2 linked regions of the Elephas maximus indicus genome follow. The main gene of each other region encodes a partner of the protein of the gene in region 2 in a complex. Links are inferred from orthologs where the notes say so. Each region holds a gene or a part of one and is shown on either strand. Other genes may lie near its edges. The genes, in order: MAP3K20 and NOD2.

Region 1 (11,259 bases), on a different chromosome or scaffold from region 2:
GCGCACATAGAAGCCCAGAAAGAAAACGTGAAGTAGGTATAATCTATGTCGTGGTTCACTGCAGGGGTTTTAGTGTTTAATAACTGGAGGCATGTTATGCTGAACCACTAGAGGCATGAAGGAACAGAATCAGATCCGAGTCTGAATAAAGCAGGAAATGCTGAAAGGGCAGTTTCTATGGGTTGGCTAGAAGAATAATTCACAGGTATATGGGGTGGGGAATCCCCGGGTGGGGCAAATGGTTAATGTGCTCTTGCCTGCTAACTGAAAGTTTGGAGATTCGAGTCCACCCAGAGGCACCTTGGAACAAAGGCCTGGCAATTCGCTTCAGAAAAACCAGCCACCGGAAACTCTATAGAGCACAGTTCTACTCTGACACATGTGAGGTTGCCATGAGTCAGAATCAACTTGACAGCAACTGGTTTACTGGTTATATGGGGAGGAAGACGGGAAGACGCAGCCGCTTGTAAGTAAACAAGGCTTATTTCAGTCAGCCAGTCTCCCACCCACCCCGAGGTCCTATGCTACTCAACTCTTGTTTCTAGCCCTGCCGAAACTGGCTGGGAAGGTGCGACACACTCCAGATTTCCATCCTACAACTCACTCTTCCCCTTCCACTCCCAAAACAAAGAGCTGTCTTCATCTTGAAAACCACAGTAGAACCACTGAAATAAAGTCTTTGGATCATGATCCGGATTACCTATTCTTTTCTCCGCAAAACGAAATTGCGTTACCTCTGCAGTGGGCCGGGTGGCAGAACTTACTGACGAAGTTCCATTCATCGGGACCAATCCTACGTTCCTCAAATGTGTGTATTCCCTCACCTGGAGCATATAGCAATGCACAAAGGATGTATGAATAAACACATATCCTCCAGGATCAATTTTACTTTAAGATTTGGGGGAATAAATCTGTTTAATGTCTGTTTGTACTGGCTTAATCAATAAAGTAAAATAATAGTATAGAAGAGAATGCAAAATCCACAGGAATTTTTATGATAAAAAATGAGATTGCAAAGAGAGTTCTTGCTTGCAGTGGGGGTACCGATAGTCGTGTTTACAGATCCCCGAAGGAACACATTCATCCTTCCCCGCAGTAGAGTACTTTGGTAGAAAAGTTTAATAAGCAAATATTTGCTCCATGACCTTTAGATCTTGGGAGAACGTAGAAGAGAACAATTCTTTCCTTCGCATTTTGGTATTCCTATATTTTTTTTTTTATGTGGAAGACCAGACGTGAGTCCAGAAAGAAGGGCTTTGGGCCCTGAAGACAAGCTGTGCTCACAATCAGCTTTAAGAATCGTTCTAAGTAGTTTCACCTATTCATACAACTTCTAAATTTTTCATATAGATATTTAAATCCATTAATTTTCAGATCCTCCCTCAAGAATATTACAAAGCTGTATATAAACATTGAGGTACACAGAGCCAATTTAGAAATCCTTATAACTCAAAGCAGGAGAGTTTAACTATGAAAAGGTCCCACCTCCTACATACACACATATGTATGATATAGGGACAGGGCAGGCTACCAAGAGCAAGCCCCAGCTGGATATATCCTTCTCTGTGTAAACTGTGAGAAATGTGGAAAAGCAGCCTTCTCCACTACTCAGCTATGGTGGCTGAAGCTCCAGGCATTAGTTCAAGCATATCCATGTGATGTCTCATAGGTTTATCCTTATAAAGCAGCTATTACTGTCCCCAATTCCTATCTGAGGAAACGAAGGATCAAGGGTGTGAAAGCTACATATGTACAAGTGGTACAACTGGGATTCAAACTCAGGTCTGACTCCAAGTCATAATCATTTTTTCCACCATGCCATATCAGTCTTTTTCCACTATATCTCATTCTGCCTCTTTCTTCTGATTTCCCTCCCTCCTCCACCACCACTTTAAGCAGACCTTTTCTTATTACAGTAATTGCTAGATTGCTTAGCATCCACCTAAGTTCAATGAGGCTTTAATTTCCTATTAGGAATTGTGATGCTGGGGTTAGGGTGTGAAATGTGCGGCTGCTTTGCTCCCACAGACTCTTCTACTGTGTAGGGACTATTTAACCACTTTTGGGGCATAATCGATGCTTCTGCTGTCCATAGCAGTGTTTCACACAAAAGCACCCATGTATCAATCAAACCAACCTAAGCGCTAGCATTATAGCTCTCTTCCCTTAACAGGTACAGTTTTCTGGCCACAGCTGGAACTCTGCTTATTTGTGTGCAGTGGGGCAGGGCTAATAGACACAAGACAATTAGCCTCATCTTCCCTGTAGTAAGAACAAAAGGTGCCTTAGCTCTTCCTATTACATTTAGATACACAAGGTACCCTCCCTGTCAATCTTTCCTGGGTGGAATAAAATGGAAAACAAATGATCCAGGTTGATTTTTATTTCCTACACCTCAGGATACAGATATTAAAAATCTTATTCCAAGCAACACTGTATCACCGTGCACACTTTTTTCTTGTTTGAAAAAAAAAAAAAAGATTCTCTCCTTCTCATCTCTGAATCTATCAATTTCCAGAATCAACTATCCATTTGCTCTTTCAACTCCACACTAATAGCTTCACTTTATGTCTGAACTCTTCAAGAAACGTCATTGTAATTTCTCAAGTGTCTTCTCTGATGAATGGATTATTCACTCCATGCCCCTCATGACTTCAGTTCACAGTTTTGTAGCCCTATCAAAGTCAGTTTCACTACTCATTCCAGATAAGCACTCAGCCAATGTATTGCCAATAACACTTACTCTTGTACTGACTTAAAATATACAGTGCAACTTGCCAAGTTTCTGTTTTTGGCAAGAAGGTCCCTTAGTTCCCAAGATCTTTGACCATCCATTTTTAGATCCAAATTCTTAATATTTGGATATTACTCTCTCTCTCTCTTTAATGTGACCTAAGTGTTCCCTAAAAGAATTAGAAAAAGAGATCAACCATCTATTTGCTTTCCTGGACAAGGAAAAAAAATGTCCTGGCCATTGCATTATGGTCACTTACCTGGAAATATAACTGCTAAAACTTTGGATTTAAACAATATTTTCCAGCTTATATATAAAAAAACAAAAAACTCCCAAAATAACCCCAAAAAGTTATAGTAGGAATCAGAGTGTTAAAGATTAAAATTAGCAGTACACACAGCTCCAAAAGACCATTTTTCTTTATCTGAATTCTCTTTCCAAACAAACTAAATTCACATTCATTTGCAATCTCCCAAGTCTCTCACTACTGTAGCAGGAATGCAAACAAAAGCTCTACAAATGACTAAAACCATAATTTAAATGCCACTATCACATACGTTTTTTAAAATGAAAAAACAGCAAGAAATTTCATTGTAGAGATGGTCCCATTACAAAGACGTCATTAACTGGCCTTGACTCACTTGTCTAATCCTGTCTTAAAATATGTTGCAGGTCTAGATCCACTGAATCCTGGCTGTTCACTTTAGTTAATGTCAGGAAAGCCAGAAGGCTCTCCTACAACAGCTCTAGGGTGAATACAGAAGTCTACTTTAACAATATTAACTCAGATATCCTCAAATTAATTCTGTAATACGATTCTAACACACCAGTATTGCAAGCTGCTTACTGTTAATAACACTGGAATAGGCCACTAAACTGTGTTGATTTCATTATTGAAGAAACTAACACAAATAGTAATTAAGTCCCCCATAACAGTGCTTATGCCAGGTATCTAGCGCATCAGGAACATACATTTTCGGCAATCTAATAATACCAAAACAAACAAACAAACGAGTCGAAAAATCTAATAATAGCACCCCATTTTTCAAGAAATTCAATGTCATCTAACGAGCTTTAAAGTTTTTAGGATAGCTGTCACGAGCGAGCAGGCGTGGAGGCAGCCTCAGCGTTCGTCTCTGGGCCTGCGGCAGGTCTCAGCGTGCACGAAACCGGGGCCTCCAAGGGGTCAGTCAAGGGGATCCCCTCTGCTCTCGTGGAAGTAAAGTGGGGAAGTTCGAGTGTGCGGGCGATTGCGAGCTCCAGGTTGCTCAAGGACGCCTCAGGAAGGGCAGGGAGCCGTCACTGTCGGTGGGAAATACCACTCTGGGCCGAGTGCCCTAGAAAGCAGAAGTTAGGCGTCTCTGCTCGCACGCACAGACCTCTGATGGGAAATGGTCTGCATCCTGCCCTGATTTGGGAGGTCCGCGTTTCGCCCCTGCAAACCGGCTGTCCGGCGCTACCCGCCCCGGGGTCCAGGGCTCGGCCGGCCGGGCCCCGTGTTCTGCGATGGGAAGCGAGGCCCGGGAGGAGGAGCGCCGCGAGCGACGAGGCGTCCCACGACCGCGCTGCATGCCCAGGGCCGAGAAAGCCTGAGACGCTCGGGACTGCGTCCCGCTCTTCCGGCGCCAACTTCTCCGTCTGTCGGGCCCGAACTTCCCCGAGCTGCACTTGGTCGCGGAGCTGCGGAGGTCCAGCACTGAGCTCCGCGAAAGCCGGGAACGCTCACTCCCGCCGCTACCGCCTGGGCGGAGCCCGGCCCGGGAAGGGGTGCCCTGTGGGGCGCCCCTAGGCCCGCTGGACTCCGGCCTCCAACTGGGCCTCGGCCCCGAGACGATGGGGCAACTCGCGAGCGCGGCGGGCCTGCCTCCCTCCCTCCCTGGCCTCCGCGGCCTCCAGCCTGGCCCTTACCTGGCTCCCCGACCGGGCGCGAGCAGCAGCTGGGCGCGGAGGCCCCGCGCGCAGCGAGGACGGCGGCAGAGGGCCGGGAGGACGGCGGCCCGCGCAGCTTCCACGCTTCCGCCGAGTCAGGAGTTGAACATTCCGCCTCTCCGCCCGGCGCCAATGAGGAAGACAGTCACAGCAACAGCACCACCTACCTCCGACCGCGGAACCGCGAAACCGCGGAATCCCCCTGCCCTCGCCTGGCACGCCCGCCTACCCGGCAGCCGCTCACACACGCCAGCAAGCCGGGCGTGGGGAACGAACTCTGGCCTCCGGGGCCTTCATCACCGAGGCCTGCGATCCGCCCAGGAACCCACCGAGGACGTCTGCGCGCCCCCCGGGGGGCTGTTAGGGGACTTCCCTGTCCTCAAAGTGCACCTGCCCTGTAGTTGGGAGAACGGCGGAGGGGGGGGAAGGGGGCGGAGTGACTTCTTCGCCCCTTTGTACCTTACCATCTTGTTGGTAGTAACACTACCAATTCCATCAAGGCAGTTCTCATCAACATTTACTGTGGCGATAGGCAGTAGGATACAAAGAGATAGGAGACTACTTACTGTCCTACAGAAGTTAAATTGGGAAGGGAGTAGACATACAAAGATATTCCTGAGGAGATAGGGATGAAGGCTGCTTCGGTAGAACCAACAGTAGGTACCTTCTCGAATTTCGAGGAAGGGTCATGGTCTACTGCTCTGGTTGGTGGTTTTAACAGAGCAGAAATCAGATGAGGGAACTAGAATCCATTTCGGATGTGGGCAAAAAGTGGGAATGGGTATTGGGAAGAAAAATGACTGTTGATTGGGGGAGGATGGTTCTGTGGAGGAAAGTGTGAGCTGAGGTTGCAAAGGTATAGGTCACGTATTCTGGGTTTTGAATTTGAATTTTACACTCCCTGGTTACAGGGAAACTGTGGAAAGTCAGAAACAAGAGAATAAAGTTTTTGTTCTGATGATGTTTTAGAGAAGCCCTGGTGGCACAGTGGTTCAGAACTCAGCTGATAACCAACAGGTTGGCATTTCAAATCCACCAGCCCCTCCTTGGAAACCCTATGGGATGGTTCTATTCTGTCCTGTAGGGTTGCTGTGAGTCGGTGCTGATTCCACGGCAACGGGTACGTTCTTCCTACAACGGTTGCAGGGTGGGTTGCTAGTGCAAAACTGGGAAGCAGTTACAGGATTATGAGAGCCTAGGTTAGAGTGTACCAAATGGGATTAGAAAAGAGGAAATGGAGTTGAGAGAGATTTTTCAGCAAGAGGCCACTGAAATTAGTGACCCAATAGATGTGGAAGACAAGAAGAGCCAGAGATGATGCCAAGATCAAAATTGCATGACTGGAAGAATGATAGTGTCATTGACAGAAATAGTGATGTGTGGAGGGGAAGCTGGCTGGCTTCATGTTGAGTTCTAGGTCATGGGAGGAAAACAGGTAAAGATGTGGTGGCTGAAACATGAAACTGAAATTCATAAAAGAGGACAGGTGGGAAATATAAAATTTGCAAATCATCGTATAGGTTCAAGACATGAAAGTGGAGGGATTGGTGAATATATGTTAAAAAATTTCTAGTCTGTTACTCACATTAATTATTGAATTTTCTCTTTGATAAGGACTGGGAATTTTAGCATTAATAGTTTTCTGTTTTCATAACCAAGGTATGAGGATTCATGAAAACTGTTATACAAAAAAAGAATTCCTGATTTAGGTAATCAAGTAATTCTTAAAAACCATCCAACCATCAAAGGGAAAACTAAAGCTCTTTAGACCCAGGTATAAGGAGACTTCAATCATTTTATTTCACCTTCAAGGACACTTTATTGTGACAGAAAGGACACTAGGCTGCAGGTCAAGGAAGGTCCTGAGTCCAGCCACTGAACAGCTGGGAAGTTTTGCTAGACAGGCCCCAGTTTCCTTGTCTGCAAAATAAGAGACTTGCAGTTTCCAGCTTTAAAACCATGGATGTATTGCTTTAAGTTTGGCCTGCATGCCATAAGAGTCTTAATGTTTCTTAGCCACATTCCCCTTCCTTCCCATCTACTTCTCCTTTATTCTATTTTCCCCACATTATTAGGCTAAGAGAATAGCCAGCAAGAACAATAAACACTGTAGAGTAGTCTCACAAACATGCTTTAACAATAATCTGGTAGGCATTCTCGGGTCTTCGTAATTAGACTGCAAATTCCTTGAGGCTATTCTTATCTTCTATTATATCTGTCCATAGCTGAAATAAATACATAAAAATTGTGTGATGAACTAATTGCCACAAGTCTAATTTTCTTTCATTAAGCTACTTGCTTCCATATGACTATGCAGATTTCTTTGGCCCCTAAACGTATTGTCCAATGCCTTTTCCTGTGACTGACTCTATTCTTTCAAACTATCCAATCTTTTTGAAATCATTTTGGTTAATTCTAACCAATTGTTGTTGTTAGGTGCCATCGAATCAGTTCCAACTTACAGCAAACCTGTGTACAAACACTAAACAAAACACTGCCTGGTCCCGCGCCATCCTAACAATCGTCGCTATGTTTGAGCCCATTGTTCCAGCCACTGTGTCAGTCCATCTTGTTGAGACTTTCCCCTTTTTCTCTGACCCTCTACCAAGCATGATGTCCTTCACCAGGGACTGACCCCTCCTAATAACATGTCCAAAGTATGTGAGACAAAGTCTCACCATGCTTATTTCTAAGGAGCATTCTGGCTGTACTTCTTCCAAGACAGGTTTGTTCTTTCTTCTGGCAGTCCATGGTATGTTCAATATTCTTCGCCAGCACCATAATTCAAAGGCATCAATTCTTCTTCAGTCTTCCTCGTTCATTGTCCAGCTTTTGCATGCATATAAGGTGATTGAAAATATCCTGGCTTGGGCCAGGTACACCATAGGCCTCAAGGTGACATTTTTGCTTTTTAACACTTTAAAGAGGTCTTTTATAACAATCTTGCCCAATGTGATGCGTCATTTGATTTCTTGACTGCTGCTTCTGTGGGCGTTGATTGTGGATCCAAATAAAATGAAATCCTTGATTTCAGTCTTTTCTCTATTTATCATGATGTTGCTTCTTGGTTCAGTTGTGAGGATTTTTGTTTTCTTTATGTTGAGGTGTAGTCCATACTGAAGGCTGTAGTCTTTGATCTTCATCAGTAAGTGCTTCAAGCCCTCCTGACTTTTAGCAAGCAAGGTTATGTCATCTGTATATCACAGGTTATGAGTCATCCTCCAGTCCTGATGCTGTGTTCCTCTTCATATAGTCCAGCTTCTCGGATTCTTTGCTCAGCATACAGATTCAATAAGTATGGTGAAAGGATATAACCCTTATGCACACCTTTCTTAACTTTAAACCATGCACTAACCCCTTGTTCTATTCAAACAACTGCCTCTTGGTCTAAGTGCAGGTTCCTCATGAGTACAATTAAGTGTTCGGGAATTCCCACTCTTGGCAATGTTATCCATACTTTGTTATGATCCATACAGTTGAATGCCTTTGCATAGTCAATAAAACAAAGGTAAGCATCTTTCTGATATTCTCTGCTTTCAGTCAAGATCCATGTGACATAAGCAATGATATCCCTCATTCCACATCCTTTTCTGACGTACTGTTGTAACTGCTTTTGGTTTTAAATTTTTGTTGTGCTTTTTTTTTTTTTAAGTGAAACTTTACAAATCAAGTCAGTCTCTCATACAAAAATTTATATACGCCTTGCTATATACTCCTAATTGCTCTCCCCCTAATGAGACAGCCTGCTCCTTCCCTCCACTCTCTATTTTCATGTCCATTCCACCAGCTTCTGACCGCCTCTGCCCTCTCATATCTCCTCCAGATAGGAGATGCCAACATAGTCTCAAGTGTCTACTTGATCAAAGAAGCTTATTCTTCACTAGCATCTTTTTCTATCCCATTGTCCAGTCCAATCCCTGTCTGAAGAGTTGGCTTTGGGAATGGTTCCTGCCTTGGGCTAACAAAAGGTCTGGGGACCATAACCTCCTGGGCCCTTCTAGTCTCAGTCTGACCATTAAGTCTGATCTTTTTACAAGAATTTGAGGTCTGCATCCCACTGCTCTCCTGCTCCCTCAGGGGTTCTCTGTTGTGTCCCCTGTCAAGGCAGTCATTGGTTATGGCCAGGCACCACCTAGTTCTTCTGGTCTCATGCTGATATAGTCTCTGGTTTATGTGGTCCTTTCTGCCTCTTGGGCTCATAATTACCTTGTGTCCTTCGTGTTCTTCATTCTCTTTTGGTCCAGGTGGGTTGAGACTAGTTGATGCATCTTAGATGACAACTTGCTAATGTTTAAGACCCCAGAACCCACTCTCCAAAGTGGGATGCAGAACGTTTTCTTAATAGATTTTATTATGCCAATTGACTAAGATGTCCCTTGAAACCATGGCTCCCGAACTCCTACCCCTGCTGTGCTGGCCTTTGAAGCATTCAGTTTATTCAGGAAACGTCTTTGCTTTGGTTTAGTCCAGTTGTTCTGACCTCTCCCGTATTGTGTGTTGTCTTTTCCTTCACCTAAAATAGTTCTTATCCATGATCTAATTAGTAAATACCCCTCTTTTTCCCTCCCTCCCTTCCCCCTCTCGTAACCATCAAAGAATATTTTCTTCTCTCTTTAAACTATTTCTCGAGTTCTTATAATAGTGGTCTTACACAATATTTGTCCTTTTGCAACTGACTAATTTCACTTAGCATAATGCCTTCCAGATTCCTCCATGTTATGAAATGTTTCACAGATTCATCACTGTAAGGATGTAAGAATACATCACTCTAGGATGTATTCCAAGGAGTGGGATATCTGGTAGTTCCATTTCTAGCTTTTTAAGGAAACGCCAAATCAATTTCCAAAGTGCTTGTACCATTTTACATTCCCACCAGCAGTGTATGAGTGTTCCAGTCTCTCTACGATCTCTCCAACATTTCTTATTTTGTGTTCTTTGGATTAATGCCAGCCTTGTTGGAGTGAGATGGAATCTCATTGTAGTTTTGATCTGCATTTCTTTAATGGCTAATGATCATGAGCATTTTCTCACGTATCTGTTAGTTCCTGAATGTCTTCTTTAGTGAAGTGTCTATTCATATCTTTTGCCCGTTTTTTAATTGGGTTATTTGTCTTTTTTTTTTTTAATTAACTTTTATTGAGCTTCAAGTGAACGTTTACAAATCAAGTCAGTCTGTCACATATAAGTTTATATACACCTTACTCCATACTCCCACTTTCTCTCCCCCAATGAGTCAGCCCTTCCAGTCTCTCCTTTCGTGACAATTTTGCCAGCTTCCAACCGTCTCTACCCTACCATGCCCCCTCCAGACAGGAGATGCCAACACAGTCTCAAGTGTCCACCTGATACAAATAGCTCACTCTTCGTCAGCATCTCTCTCCTACCCACTGTCCAATCCCTTCCATGTCTGATGAGTTGCCTTCGGGAATGGTTCTTGTCCTGGGCCAGCATAAGGTTTGGGGACCATGACCGCCGGGATTCCTCTAGTCTCAGTCAGACCATTAAGTATGGTGTTTTTGTGAGAATTTGGGGTCTGCATCCCACTGATCTCCTGCTCCCTCAGGGGTTCTCTGTTGTGCTCCCTGTCAGGGCAGTCATCGGTTGTGGCCAGGCACCAACTAGTTCTTCTGGGGTTATTTGTCTTTTTGTAGTTGAGTTTTTGCAGTATCATATAGATTTTAGAGATCAGGCACTGATTGGAAATGTCATAGCTAAAAGCTTTTTCCCAGTGTTTAGGTAATCTTTTTACTCTTTTGGTGAAGTCTTTGGATGAGCATAGATGTTTGATTTTTGGGAGCTCCCAGTTATCTACTTTTTCTTCTGCATTGTTAGTAATGTTTTGTATACGGTTTATGCCATGTATTAGGGCTCCTAAAGTTGTCCCTATTTTTTCTTCCATGATCTTTATCATTTTAGATTTTTATGTTTACGTCTTTGGTCCATTTTGAGTTAGTTTTTGTGCATGATATGAGGTATGGGTCTTGTTTCATTTTTTTGCAGATGGATATCCAGTTATGCTAGCACCGTTTGTTAAACAGACTATCTTTTCCCCATTTAACTGACTTCAAGCCTTTGTCAAATATCAGCTGCTCATATGTGGATGGATTTATGTCTGGATTCTCAATTCTGTTCCATTGGTCCATGTATCTGTTGTTGTACCAATACTGGGCTGTTTTGACTACTGTGGCAGTATAATAGGTTCTAAAATCAGGTGGAGTGAGGCCTCCCACTTTGTTCTTCTTTTTTGGTAATGCTTTACTTATCTGGGGCCTCTTTCCCTTCCACATGAAGTTGGTGATTTGTTTCTCCATCTCATTAAAGAATGTCCTTGGAATTTGGATTGGAATTGCGTTGTATCTATAGATCACTTTTGGTAGAATAGACATTTTTACAATGCTAAGTCTTCGTATCTATGAGCAAGGTATGTTTTTCGGCTTAAAGTAGGTCTCTTGTTTTCTTGCAGAAATGTTTTGTAGTTTTCTTTGTATAAGTCTTTTACATCTCTGGTAAGATTTATTCCTAAGTATTTTATCTTCTTGGGGGCTACTGTAAATGGTATTGATTTGGTGATTTTCTCTTCGATGTTCTTTTTGTTG
Region 2 (12,012 bases):
TGGCTTGGGGATTTCGCCTCTTCTTGTTGGTTGTTTATGTGTCTCCCCATGCTTGGCCCAAGACGGAGCCTAGATCTTACTCATCCTGACATCCCTGAGCCCAGCATAGGGCTGGGCCCAGCCCAGGCCTCTGGGAATGTTCACAAATCCAAAATCCACAGAGGAGGTGAGGGGCTGGAACACTGTGCGCTTCCTCATATGCTGGCCAAGGTAAACAGAAGGAGACATCTCCAACTCAGAATGCTGCCAACACATAGGCTGGAGGGCTGGTGTGGGCCTGATGGGAAAACTGAGGCAGCGAGGCTACCTGCGTGTCTGGCAGAGTGGGAGGGATGGTTTCCTCACTGCGGGGGCCGCTGCAAACCAGAAACTAAAGTCGGGCTCCCTGTCCAAGCAGGCTGCCTCCCTGTGCCCACTGCCCAGCAGAGGAGCCACAAGTGGGGGTAGGGGAGGGAGAGGTGGGCAGGGCAGGAAGAGCTCTGGGCTTGGCCTGCAGTGGTTCTCAGCCAGGAACATGCACAGCCCCCACTGCCAGCCCTGCTCAGGACCTAGGGACAATACCCGTGGCCTGGAGTATACGCGTGCAGAATGTCCATATCTCTTACCCAGACGACTCCTTTTCTTTCCTGGGCACCCTCTCTCCACGACCACCCATTAAGCTTGGGGGAACATCAGGGCCAAGCTGTCCGTGGGCAGGTCTTGAGCTGGACTGACAGGCCTGGATCTGTCCACAGACCCCACCACTGGGGAGACCCCGAACAGATGGACCAGAAGTCAGGGTTGGCTGGGCAACCATCCAGAATGAGGTTATTCTCAGCAGTTCTGACACAGAGGCTTGTGCATCCGCCATCACCCTCGCTGAGAAACCTCACCAGCGATGTGAGACACACCCACAGATGTCCCCCGCCCCACACACCCACAGGGGGACATGCTGAGAGTCACTGGGCCTCTTCCCAAACACACCAATTTGGGGGCAGCTTACAGAGGCTCTAGCCACAACCCACTCAGGGTAGTGATGTCAGGGCTCTGTTGTCACAGTCATCAGAGACTAGAAGGGAGGGATAGGTCCTAGACATGAGGCCTGACATTCTGTCCTCCCATCAGCAGATGGAAAGTCCCATCTCTGTCCCAGCCTTCTTCCAGAAACCTCAGAGTAGGAAGAATCCCCGAGGATCAACTCAGCCAGCCCCCTGACCCCAAACAGGCGTTGTCTTGTCTCATGGTAAACATCCGGGGAGGAGGACCTGACATTGTTGCAATCCTCACTAACTAAATCAGGAAGTTCTTCATAATGTCTAGCTTAAGTTTTTCCTGCTTCCCTTTAAATTGGGAAAAGGAAAAAAGATGTTCACCCACCACTTATTTCATAAAGGCTGTCCCTAAAATCCTGTCCCTTCCCTTCCTCTCTTCAGATTAAACAAATCAGTCTATGTCCACTGTCTTCTTATTTGCTTCATTCACAACTTTGGAGTCATTACTGCCCTTCCTCAAGGAAAGTGATCACTTGCCCTTCAGTTGATTCCGACTCATGGTGAGCCCATGTGTGTGCAGTAGAAACGCTCCATGGGGTTTTCAAGGCTGTGATCTTTTGGAAGCAGATTGCCAAGCCTGTCTTCCGAGGCACCTCTGGGTGGGTTTGAACTGCCGGCCTTCAGTTAACAGTCGAGCACGTAACCATTTGTGCCACCCAGGGAAAGTGAGGCTTGTGCAAAGAAAGGGCAGAGGGGCACTTTCTTGCTGGAACACAGGGTCAAGCCAAGGGAGTGGCCCTTGGGGACCCGTCCTTGTCCCCATGCCCAGTCCTCGGCCCTGGCACTGCCATCCTTCCTGAGACCGCAAGGCAGGCCTGGGTTTCTCTGGGGCCATGTGCCAGTTACAGCACTGAAATCCTAGCCCACTGCAGATGGGAGAGGAAGGGAGGGCCCGGGAAGCCCACTTCTGAGCTAGGCTGGCTCTCAGCGGGGTCCACATCTCCGCTGGGGTACTGGGCCCACCTCCTTACCTCCTCCAGACACCCTCCATTCTCTGTCCTCTTCACCCAGCTTCTCTCTCTAGAACACCATTTCTGAGTGGTCCTAGACAGACTATAATTTCTCCCATCTTAAAAGTAAAGCCCCTCGTCCTTTCAGCCACAGTCCCACCTCTCTGTCCCCTGTGCAGCAGGACTCCTAGGCAGTAGTTTGTATGACTTTTCCAAGTCCTCACCTCCCATGCATTCTGATAGATCTTTCGCCCCACCCCTTCCCCAGGCTGCTGTTGCCAAGGTCACCAGTGATGCCACCCTGCTCATGTCTCAGCCCTCTTTTCTCGCTCGCTCTGCCCAGGGTATTTGCCCAATTGTATCCTCACTAGCATCCAGGACACTCCACCCTCTGGGTTTTCCTCGCACCTCACTAGCTGCTTTTTCTCAGTCTCCTTAGCTGGATGCTAAAGTCCGGGAGAGTTGTGAATTTGTAATCTCTTCTCCAGGTATCACTGTCTCTCTAAGTGAGCTCACCTGATCTTATAGCTTTAAATATCAGCTACATGGTGATGGGAGCCCTGATGGTGCAGTGGTTAAGAGCTTGGCTGCTAACCAAAAGGTCAACAGTTTGAATCCACCAGCTGCTCCTTGGGAACCCTACGGGGCAGTTCTACTCTGTCCTATAGGATCACTATGAGTTGGAATTCACTCGATGGCAATGGGTTTGGTTGGGTTTTCATGATGATGGGCCTGGTGGTGCAGTGGGTAAGCACTCGGCTGCAGTTCGAATCCACCAGCCAGCTTTGGAAACCCTATGGGGCAGTTCTGCTCATTCGTATAGAGTCGCTGTGAGTCGGAATCAACTTGACGGCAACAGGTTTGGTTTATATGGTGATATGAGTTCCTGGGTAGTGCAAACAATTAAGTGCTTGTCTGTAAACAGGAAGATTGGTGGTTTGAGTCAACTGAGATGTGCCTCAGAAGAAAGGCCTGGTGGCCTTCCAAACAGTCACTGAAAACCCTGTGGAGCACAGTTCTACTCGGACACACACAGGGTCACCATGAGTCAGTCTACTCAACAGCAAGTGGTTGGGGTTTATATAGTAATGATGCCCCAAATTTTATTTCCCGACTGCCTGCTAGACATCTTCAGATAGATGTCTAATCAGTATCTCAAATTCTAAAAATACAAACCAGATTCCTGATCTCCCTCTAAAGAGCTCCTGCCACCAGCTTCCCCATCTGTTGATGGCAGCTCCAAACTTCCAGGTACTTCAAGCCAAAAACCTCGGCATCTTCCTTGACTGCACCCTTTCTCTCACACCCCATATCCTATTAACCCTAATGTCAAAAGAGATCCCAAATCTGAAAATCTGGTAATTTCTCACCACTGCTATGCTGCACCCTAAGCTCCATGGCCTCGCCTCTGAATAGCAGCTGGGGTCGCCTCGCTGGTCTTCCCCTCTGCCCTCACCGCCCTGGTCTATCCTCCCCCCCACAGCCAGGTAAACCAGCTAAACCCTAAGTTAGAGCAGCTGCCTCCCTGCTCCAGTGGCCTCCGTCATATTCAGGGTACAAAGCAACACCCTTACAGTGACCTTCCAGCCTTACACATTGGACGCCCCCTCTCCCAACCCTCTTGAACTTATTTCCTACTAATCCCCCTCCCCCACTCTGCTCCAGCCAGCCACACACACTGGCCTCCTTATTTCTAGAACAAGCCAGGCTTGCTCCCTCCCATCATGCTTCTGCCTCAGGGCCTTTGCACATGCCCTCCCTCCCCCCAGAGATCCACAGAGCTCACCCCTCACCTTCTCCAAGGCTTTGCTCAGTGGCCACTGTCTTGAAGAGGCCTTCCCCAACTACGCTATCTAAAACTGCAATATCCAAGCCCAGCACCTCCTGACCCTCTTTCCTGCTTTGTTTTCTCCGTAGGACTTCTCACCACCTGACACACTATGTATGGACTTATTTGATCGTTGCCTGACACACTCCTGGAATGTGAACTCCGCGAGGAACGGGGAGTTTTGTCTGTGTGCTTCATTGCTATATCCCCCATGTCTCATTCAGTGCATCAATAAGGATTTTTTGAATGAATGGGTGACTTTACTTTGCAAGGTTCCAGGAGGCACAGGTGGGACCCAGGTGGAAGCCGCACCCTGCAGATTTTGGCTAAATGTCAGGAGAGCCGCAGGACTCAGAAAAGGCACCTTGTAAGTAGGGAGCTCCCCGCCACCGGCATGTGCCACAGAGGCTGGGCCAGCACTCAGCTGGGATTCTGCACTTGGTGGGCGGGGCTGGAGGCCACAGTGAGCTAAGGTCCTTTCTGCCTCAGATCCCAATACACCAAGAGGCAAAGGGGCCTTGAGTGACCAGCAAACCAGCAGAGTGATAGGAGAAGGGTCGTGGGAGTGCCTCTCCAGTCTCTTTCACCAAGGGCCAAGTTAGGGGTACAGTAGCGGTGCTGGGGAAGGCTTTTGCCCTCTGTGCAACAAGGACCTTGGAGGAGGCTAGGCCACAGCCCATGGGGAGACAGAAGCTTTGGGCAGGGAGATGTCACAGGGCTGGGAGACAGCAAGAGAGGCAAGGGCAGACTCAGAGCCAGGGGTCCAGCTGCCAGCCCTCCTCCAGCTAAGGGAGACCCTCCCCAGGGGAGCTGGGGAGGCTTTTTTAGTTTGTGGGAAAGCTGGTAGGACCGGATGGCTGCTCCACCAACACAGCGGCAGAGGGGAGGGCATATGGCAGAGGGGAGGGCTCTGGACAAGCCTGGAGTGGGCCTGTCTGGGCAGGGGTGGGGGATGAACTGGGGTCTCACACCCACGGAAGGGGGTGGGGCAGAGGACGCAGGGACTCTTACGAGAACTAAAGAGCCCAAGGAGGTGTTAGGGAGCAGCTAGGCAGACTCACAAACACTCACAGGCTTGGTAAAGTTGGGGAAACTGAGGCCCAGAAAGAGGAAAGGACTGGGCAAAGAGTGGCCCCCACTGAGACCTGAAGCTGTTTCTGATTCCCATACCCAAGCGGGGCCCTGTGCCTCTGGCCTTCACATCCTCCCGCCCACCAACCACGCGACTCCCCAAGTCAGCTGGTCCCCTAATCTCAAAGGTTCCTGGGGGCTCTCGGACGTCCTCTGTAGCCGCAGACCGCCTGGGGGCTCCCCGCCCTGGAGACGCCTCCTTTCCTTCCGCCCCCCATCTACTCCTCAGAGCTCACCAAGGGGAAACCGAGGCAGCCCCTCTACAAACCCAAAGGCTGGGACGGCTCTGGAGCCAGGTGTCAGACTCGGGAGGCGGGATCCTCGGCGCCCACCGTCTCCCCGCCGCCCAGGTGTTGGGCGCAGGTGCGCAGGTAGCGCGCCCTGAGCCAGCACTCACCGCAAAGCCGCCGGTGCCCGGTTCCTCGACCCCGGCCTGGGCCACGATTCCGGCTTCGGTTCGGGCTCAGGCTGCGCGGGCGCCCGGCTCCGCCCCTGCGCTCCCCACTCCGCCCTCCTCGGCCCGAGCGGGCCGCACCCCCTGGGAGTGCCCGCCTCCCCGCCGGCAGGAGCTCACCTAGGCTGGGTGACTGACACCGGCTGGGAGAGCCGGCCAGCGTGTATCTCTCTTCCGTCACATTTGAACTAGGAGACGGACGAGGGAGTCTTGGAACACCCCTCCAACGCGCGCGCACCCACACACATACACAGTCTCACAAATGCAGTCACACACACACTCTCCCCCCACACAGAAACACACTGTCCCACACACTCGCTTACACACTCTTACAAACACATAGTCACACACACTCGCCCACACACACTGCCTCTCTCTGTCTCTCACACACACACACACACACACACACACACACACGGTGGTATCCTGTGAAATGAAAAGCTGTTGGTGTCAGTATTAATCAGTGCACCTTCAGGCAGTCAGTAAGTCCAAAAGAAAGAAGAGTCAGTAAGTCCACAGCCATCTAAAGCCTTAAAATTGCAAAGCTCAGTTCCCTGAACAGCGTTTCCGGAGTGTGATGGGTTACATGTTAGGTGACCCTGAGCCAGGCATGACATAGAAAGGAGTCATGTGACGGTGAAGTTCCTCTTTTTTCATTTTTCTTTCCATCTTTCTGTTTAAGTCCAGGAGAGACATCTCCGTTTAGTGCTCCTTGTCTAACACTGTCTAGTCTCCTCCACTGGCCACAATATCTGACTAGAATTTGATACCGCGGATTTGTTTTCATTAACTGTTTCTCAGAGCAAGTGACCTGGTTTTCCACTTAAGGTATTAATATAAAAGTTCCTTTAAAAACACGTGCATTTGCCCGGCTACCACCCGTGACCATCCTGACAGGGAACACAACAGAGAGTCCCTGACGGAGCAAGAGAAAAGTGGATGCAGAACTCAAGTTCTAGTAAAAAGAACAGACTTAATGGTCTGATTGAGACTGGAGGGACCCCAGAAGACATGGCCCCAGGACTTTCTGATAGCCCCAAACTAAAATCACTCCAGAAGCCAACTCTTCAGACAAAGATTAGACTGGACTATAAGACATAAAATGATATCTGTGAAGTGCATGCTTCTTAGCTCAAATACTTACATGAGACTAAGTGGGCAGTTCCTGTCTGGAGGCGAGATGAGAAAGCAGAAATGGACAGGAGCTGACTGAATAGACACGGGAAATACAGGGTGGGAAAGAGGAGTATGATGGCACATTACAGGGAGAGCAACTAGGGTCACATAACAATGTATGTATAAATTTTGTATGAGAAACTAACTTGAACTGTAAACTTTCATTTAAAGCACAATTAAAAAAAACATGCATTTGGATTTGTAAAAAATGTGAAGTCGATTTAAAGAAATATAATGGAGACAACTAATTTTACAGAGTGTTTACTAGGTGCCAGGCTTTAGTACAAGTATTTATGTATTATATGAATACATAGTTGTTGTTTTAGGCACTGTCTAGTCGGTTCCAACTCATAGCGACCCTACATACAACCAAACGAAGCACTGCCCGGTCCTGTGCCATCCTCACAATCGTTGTTATGCTTGAGCCCATTGTTGCAGCCACTGTGTCAATCCATCTGGTTGAGGGCCTTCCTCTTTTTCGCTGACCCTCTACTTTACCAAGCATGATGTCCTTCTCCAGGGGATGGTCCGTACTGATAACATGTCCAAAGTATGTGAGACGAAGTCTCTCCACCCTTGCTTCTGAGGAGCATTCTGGCTGTACTTCTTCCAAGACAACCATTAGGGAAAAGTAAATCAAAACCACAACGAAATACTACTTGCCCCACTAAGATGACTATAATCAAAAAGGCAGGTAATAGCAAGTGTTGGCGAGGATGTGGAGAAATTGAAACCCTTCTGTGTTGCTGGTGGGAATGTAAAATGGTACAGCTGCTGTACAAAACAGTTTAGCAATTCCTCAAAAAGTCGAATACAGAGTTCCCGTACAACTGAGAGATTCACTCCTAAGTGTATACTCAAGGGAATTAAATACATGTTCACTCAAAAACTTGTACAGGAATGTTCATAGCAGAATTATACTTAATATCAGAAAGTTGGAAACAACTCAAATCTCCATCAACTGATGAATGGATAAACAAAAGGTGGTATATCCATACAGTGGAATACTATTCAGCCATAAAAAAGGAATGAAGTACTGATACACACTACAACATGGATGAACCTTGAAAACATTAAAAGAAAAAAAAAATTTTTTTTTTCTTACACTGAGTAAAAGATACCAGACACATAAGGCCACATATTCTATGTTTCCACTTATATTAAATGTCCAGGTTAGGCAAATCCATAGAGACAGAAAATAGATTAGTGGTTGCCAGAAGATGAGGGTAGTGAGAGTAGGGGGTGACAGCTAATGGGTACAGGGCTTCTTTTTCATGTGATGAAAATATTCTGCAGGTAGTTAATGGTGATGGTTTCACAACCTTGTGGATCCACTAAAAACCACTGAATCGTACGCTTTGAAAAGGTGAACTTTATGGCATATGAATTCTAGCTCCATAAAAAAAGTGGGTTGTCCACCAGGATCAAAGGAGAATGAAAAACACCAAGGTCACAAGATAACCATGAGCCCAAGAGACAGAAACGGCCACATGAACCAGAGACTTACATCATCCTGAGACCAGAAGAACTAGATGGTGCCCGGCCACAACCGATGACTGCCCTGACAGGGAGCACAACAGAGAACCCCTGAAGGAGCAGGAGATCAGTGGGATGCAGACCCCAAATTCTCATAAAAAGACCAGACTTAATGGTCTGACTGAGACTGGAGGAATCCCGGCAGCCAAGGTCCCCAGACCTTCTGTTGGCACAGGACAGGAACCATTCCCGAAGACAACTCATCAGACATGGAAGGGACTGGTCAGCGGGTGGGAGAGAGATGCTGATGAAGAGTGAGCTACTTGTATCAGGTGGACACTTGAGACTGTGTTGGCATCTCCTGTCTGGAGGGGAGATAGGAGGGTAGAGAGGGTTAGAAACTGGAAAAATTGTCACGAAAGGAGAGACTGGAAGGGCTGACTCATTAGGGGGAGATCTCGTAAGTGGGAGTATGGAGTAAGGTGTATATAAGCTTATATGTGACAAACTGACTTGGTTTGTAAACGTTCACTTAAAGCTCAATAAAAATTATTAAAAAAAAAAAAAGTGGGTTGTAAAGTGTTTCGTGTAGTATGCTCCTATTATGTTATCTGTAACATAAACCTATTAATATATGCATTGAAAAATCCAAAAGATTATCCTTTCAAATTCATGGTTGGGTTGTAAGTGGATTTTTTAGCTTTTTATTGTTGTTGTTAACCTGTATTTTATGCTTAACCTGTGTATAGGCATACACCGTTATTGTTGTTGTTGTTAGTTGCTATTGAGTCAATGCTGGCTCACAGCGACCCCATTTGTGCAGAGTAGAACTGCTCCATAGGGTTTTCAAGGCTGTGACCTTTTGGAAGCAGTTCACCTGGCCTGTCTTCCAAGGCAACTCTGGGTGGGTTCAAACTGCCGACATTTCTGCTAGTTGAGCACTTAACTGTTTGTGCCACCCAGCGCCTCCAAGCATGTGTTACTTGCAAAATAATAATCTTCAGAAAGCTTTCTCTTCAATGAGCTAAGGAGCATCTCCCTGGCTGCAGAGCCCTATCCTAGAGATGGCAATTGGGATCCTAGTGACTTTTCTGCCCACAGGTTCTCTGTCCTGGGTACCGGGGGGACAAAGCCTCCGGGCCTGGGCCTTTCCTCTTCTAGGGAAATCTTCTAGGTTGTGACATTTAAAACTCTCCGGGGCGGGGTGGGGGGAAGGTTGGCAGAGGAGCAGGTTTGCCGGCTACCTGTGCACGAGAGCTGCCCCCAGGAGCCAGGACTGTTTCCAGCAGACCCAGGCCCAGAGCCAGCTGCTGCCAACCCAGAAGGTGACCCCAGGCTTGCACTAGGTGACTGTCTCTCTGCCGGTCTCCTGTTCCAGGCAGCCCAGAACAGGCCCCTCCCCACCCACCAGAGTCCAAACTCCTGTACAACCAGGCCCAAATGAGTGAATTTGGGGATGATCTTCCCACTACCCACTCTCAGCCACACCAGCTTCCTTACGGCTCTTGGTATCCCTACCTCTGTGCTTCTACTTGCTCTGTGCCCCAATGGGAGGCAACAGTTGGAAACAGAATGGATTTGGGACTCAAGCAAACCTGGATTTAAATCTCAGTTCTGCCACTTAGCTGTTTGCCCTTGGGCACATTATTTAAGCTCTCTTGGCCTCAGTTTCCATACGGTTAGGAGGGAATAAAAATTCAACATCTTAGATATTGTTATTTATGAGGAGTATATATATATATATATATTAGAACCTGCCATATTTCCTGGCACATACACCAAAACCAAACCTGCTGTTGTCAAGCCAACTCGTGGTGCCCCAGTGTGTTACAGAGTAGAACTGCTCCGTAAGGTTTTCTTGGCTGTTTTTTTAATCTTTTCTGGAAGCAGATCACCAGGCCTTTCTTCCACAGTGCCAGTGGGTGGGTTCACGAAGTGAGCACTAGGAAGTCAAAAGGCAAAAACCAGTTGCTATTCAGTCAATTCTGAATCACGGAGACCCCATCTGTGTCAGAGCAAAATTGCGGCCTAGTGGTGAAGGGCTGCGACTGCTAACCAAGAGAGTGCAGTTCACATCCACCAGGCACTCATGGAAACTCTGTGGGGCAGCTCTACTCTGTCCTATAGGGTCGCTATGAGTCGGAACCGACTCGACGGCACTGGGTAGTGGGTTAAGGTTTTCAATGGCTGATTTTCTGGAAGGAGATCACCAGGCCTCTCTTCTGAGCTACCTCTGGGTGGACTCGAACCTCCAACCTTTTGGTTAGCAGTTGAGTGTGTTAATCATGCGCACCACCCAGGGACTGTTGTTGTTATTAGTTGCCGTCAAGTCGATTCTGACTCATAGCGATCCCACTCAATAATGTGAATAAATTAGCATTTACTGATCATCTACTGTATTCCAGGCACTGTACATCCATTCCTCACATACTCCTCACAACACCTTTACGGAACGCTTAGGTGCAGGAGGCCCTTTAATTTAACCTCATGTTGCAATTAGGGAAACTGAAATTGAGAGCGTGGTAGTGATCTGCCCAGGATCACACAGTGGCCACTTGTCGCCCAAATGGCCTCTTCTCTGCATCCACTCACTCATTCACTCAACACTTTCTTACTGAGCACCTGCTGCGTGCAGGCACTGTGCTAGGGGATGGGGGTGGTGTGCCAATGTCCCTGCCATCGTGGCGTTTGATACGGGCAACAAACAAGTAAACAAAACAATGATAACTCTCCGAAGAGGGGTCAGGGAGAAGGCCGCAGGGAGGAGAGACATTGAAGCTGACCCCAAAGAGTGAGAAAGCGACAGCCCTGGAAAGAACGGAAGGAATCGCAAGGACAGAGCCCAGAGGTGTGCTCGAGGGGGAGAAAGTGGTTTAGGAGGGCTGGTTGTAGCAGTGATGCTGGGAGCGGTGAAAATAAGGTCAGCAAGGGAGGTGAGTGGCAAATCAAGGAGGCCTCTAGGCCCCAGTGAGGTGTTGGGGTTTCCTCTGAAGGTCACGGGAAGCTACTGAATGGTCCAAGCATGGGAGAGACGTGCTCTGACCTTGATTCTAGAAGAGGCACCTGAACTCTGAGATACCAGCATTCCCCTTCCTGACTCCCCAGTGGCCCTGCTCACCACCTGGGTTCAGTGCTGCACTGGGGGATGCCCACTCCTGTGCCCTCTCTCGATGGCAGCAGCCCTTGCCTGCTTTCCTCCACCGTGTGGACCTGTGTGCTGTAGAGGGCACAAGAAGTTACAAGCTGCACAAGTTGTCCACCACTCTGGAACAATGTGGTGTGATCTAGCACAGTTGAAGCTATTCATGCTCTAAGATCCATCAACTTCAACCTCAGAGAAAACACATGCCCTTAGATGCCCAGAGGGTGGCTAAGCATGGCATCTGGTCACTCTGGTCCTACCACGTCCTTTCTCCACAAGCTAGACACCCCCTCCATGTCAGGGGGTTTCCACAGAGGATCTCCTGCCCCCAGAAGAGGAAGCAGAGCCTACCACATGTTCTTCCCCTACGCTTGCTGGCTGCCTGGTGAAGGGGTCACACCAGGCATAGGGCTACAGAGAAGGGCTACAAGTCTCTCCTGGTGTCTCACAGATTCCAGGTCTGCACAGGGCAGGGCAGAGAGTGGGAGAGAAAGTAGGAAAGCTGCAGAACGCTACCCAGAGAGAAGAGAGACAGGGCATTCCAGCCTCGTTGTACACAATGCTAGGCCCTCTGTGACGAAAAGGCAAGTAAGACACTCCCGCTGCACACAAGTGGCTCACCGCTAGCAGGCCAGAGGCACACTATTCATGGTATTCGCCCTGAGCACTGCCCAGAAACAAACTCTTAAGTATGTGGATACTCCTTACGACAGCGATGGCACTGCAGAGCAATGGGATTGGATGGTCATTTCAATAGAAAAGGTCACTAGGTAAGCACGGGGTGGGATTGGAACTCCTACCTCACACCATACACAAAAATCTAC

Evidence for each region.
Region 1: NOD2 (region 2) and MAP3K20 share a complex: the UniProt entries of both Homo sapiens proteins name them as parts of the signaling complex. The link is inferred for Elephas maximus indicus from reciprocal best matches to the Homo sapiens genes NOD2 and MAP3K20.

The regions. Positions count from the first base shown.
Region 1 is NC_064824.1:71,225,366-71,236,624, reverse strand, and holds the start of MAP3K20 (mitogen-activated protein kinase kinase kinase 20), read right to left. Parts: upstream 5,013-11,259; 5' UTR 4,643-5,012; intron 1-4,642. UniProt on the Homo sapiens protein: Stress-activated component of a protein kinase signal transduction cascade that promotes programmed cell death in response to various stress, such as ribosomal stress, osmotic shock and ionizing radiation.
Region 2 is NC_064839.1:17,191,660-17,203,671, reverse strand, and holds the start of NOD2 (nucleotide-binding oligomerization domain-containing protein 2), read right to left. Parts: upstream 5,417-12,012; 5' UTR 5,338-5,416; intron 1-5,337. UniProt on the Homo sapiens protein: Pattern recognition receptor (PRR) that detects bacterial peptidoglycan fragments and other danger signals and plays an important role in gastrointestinal immunity.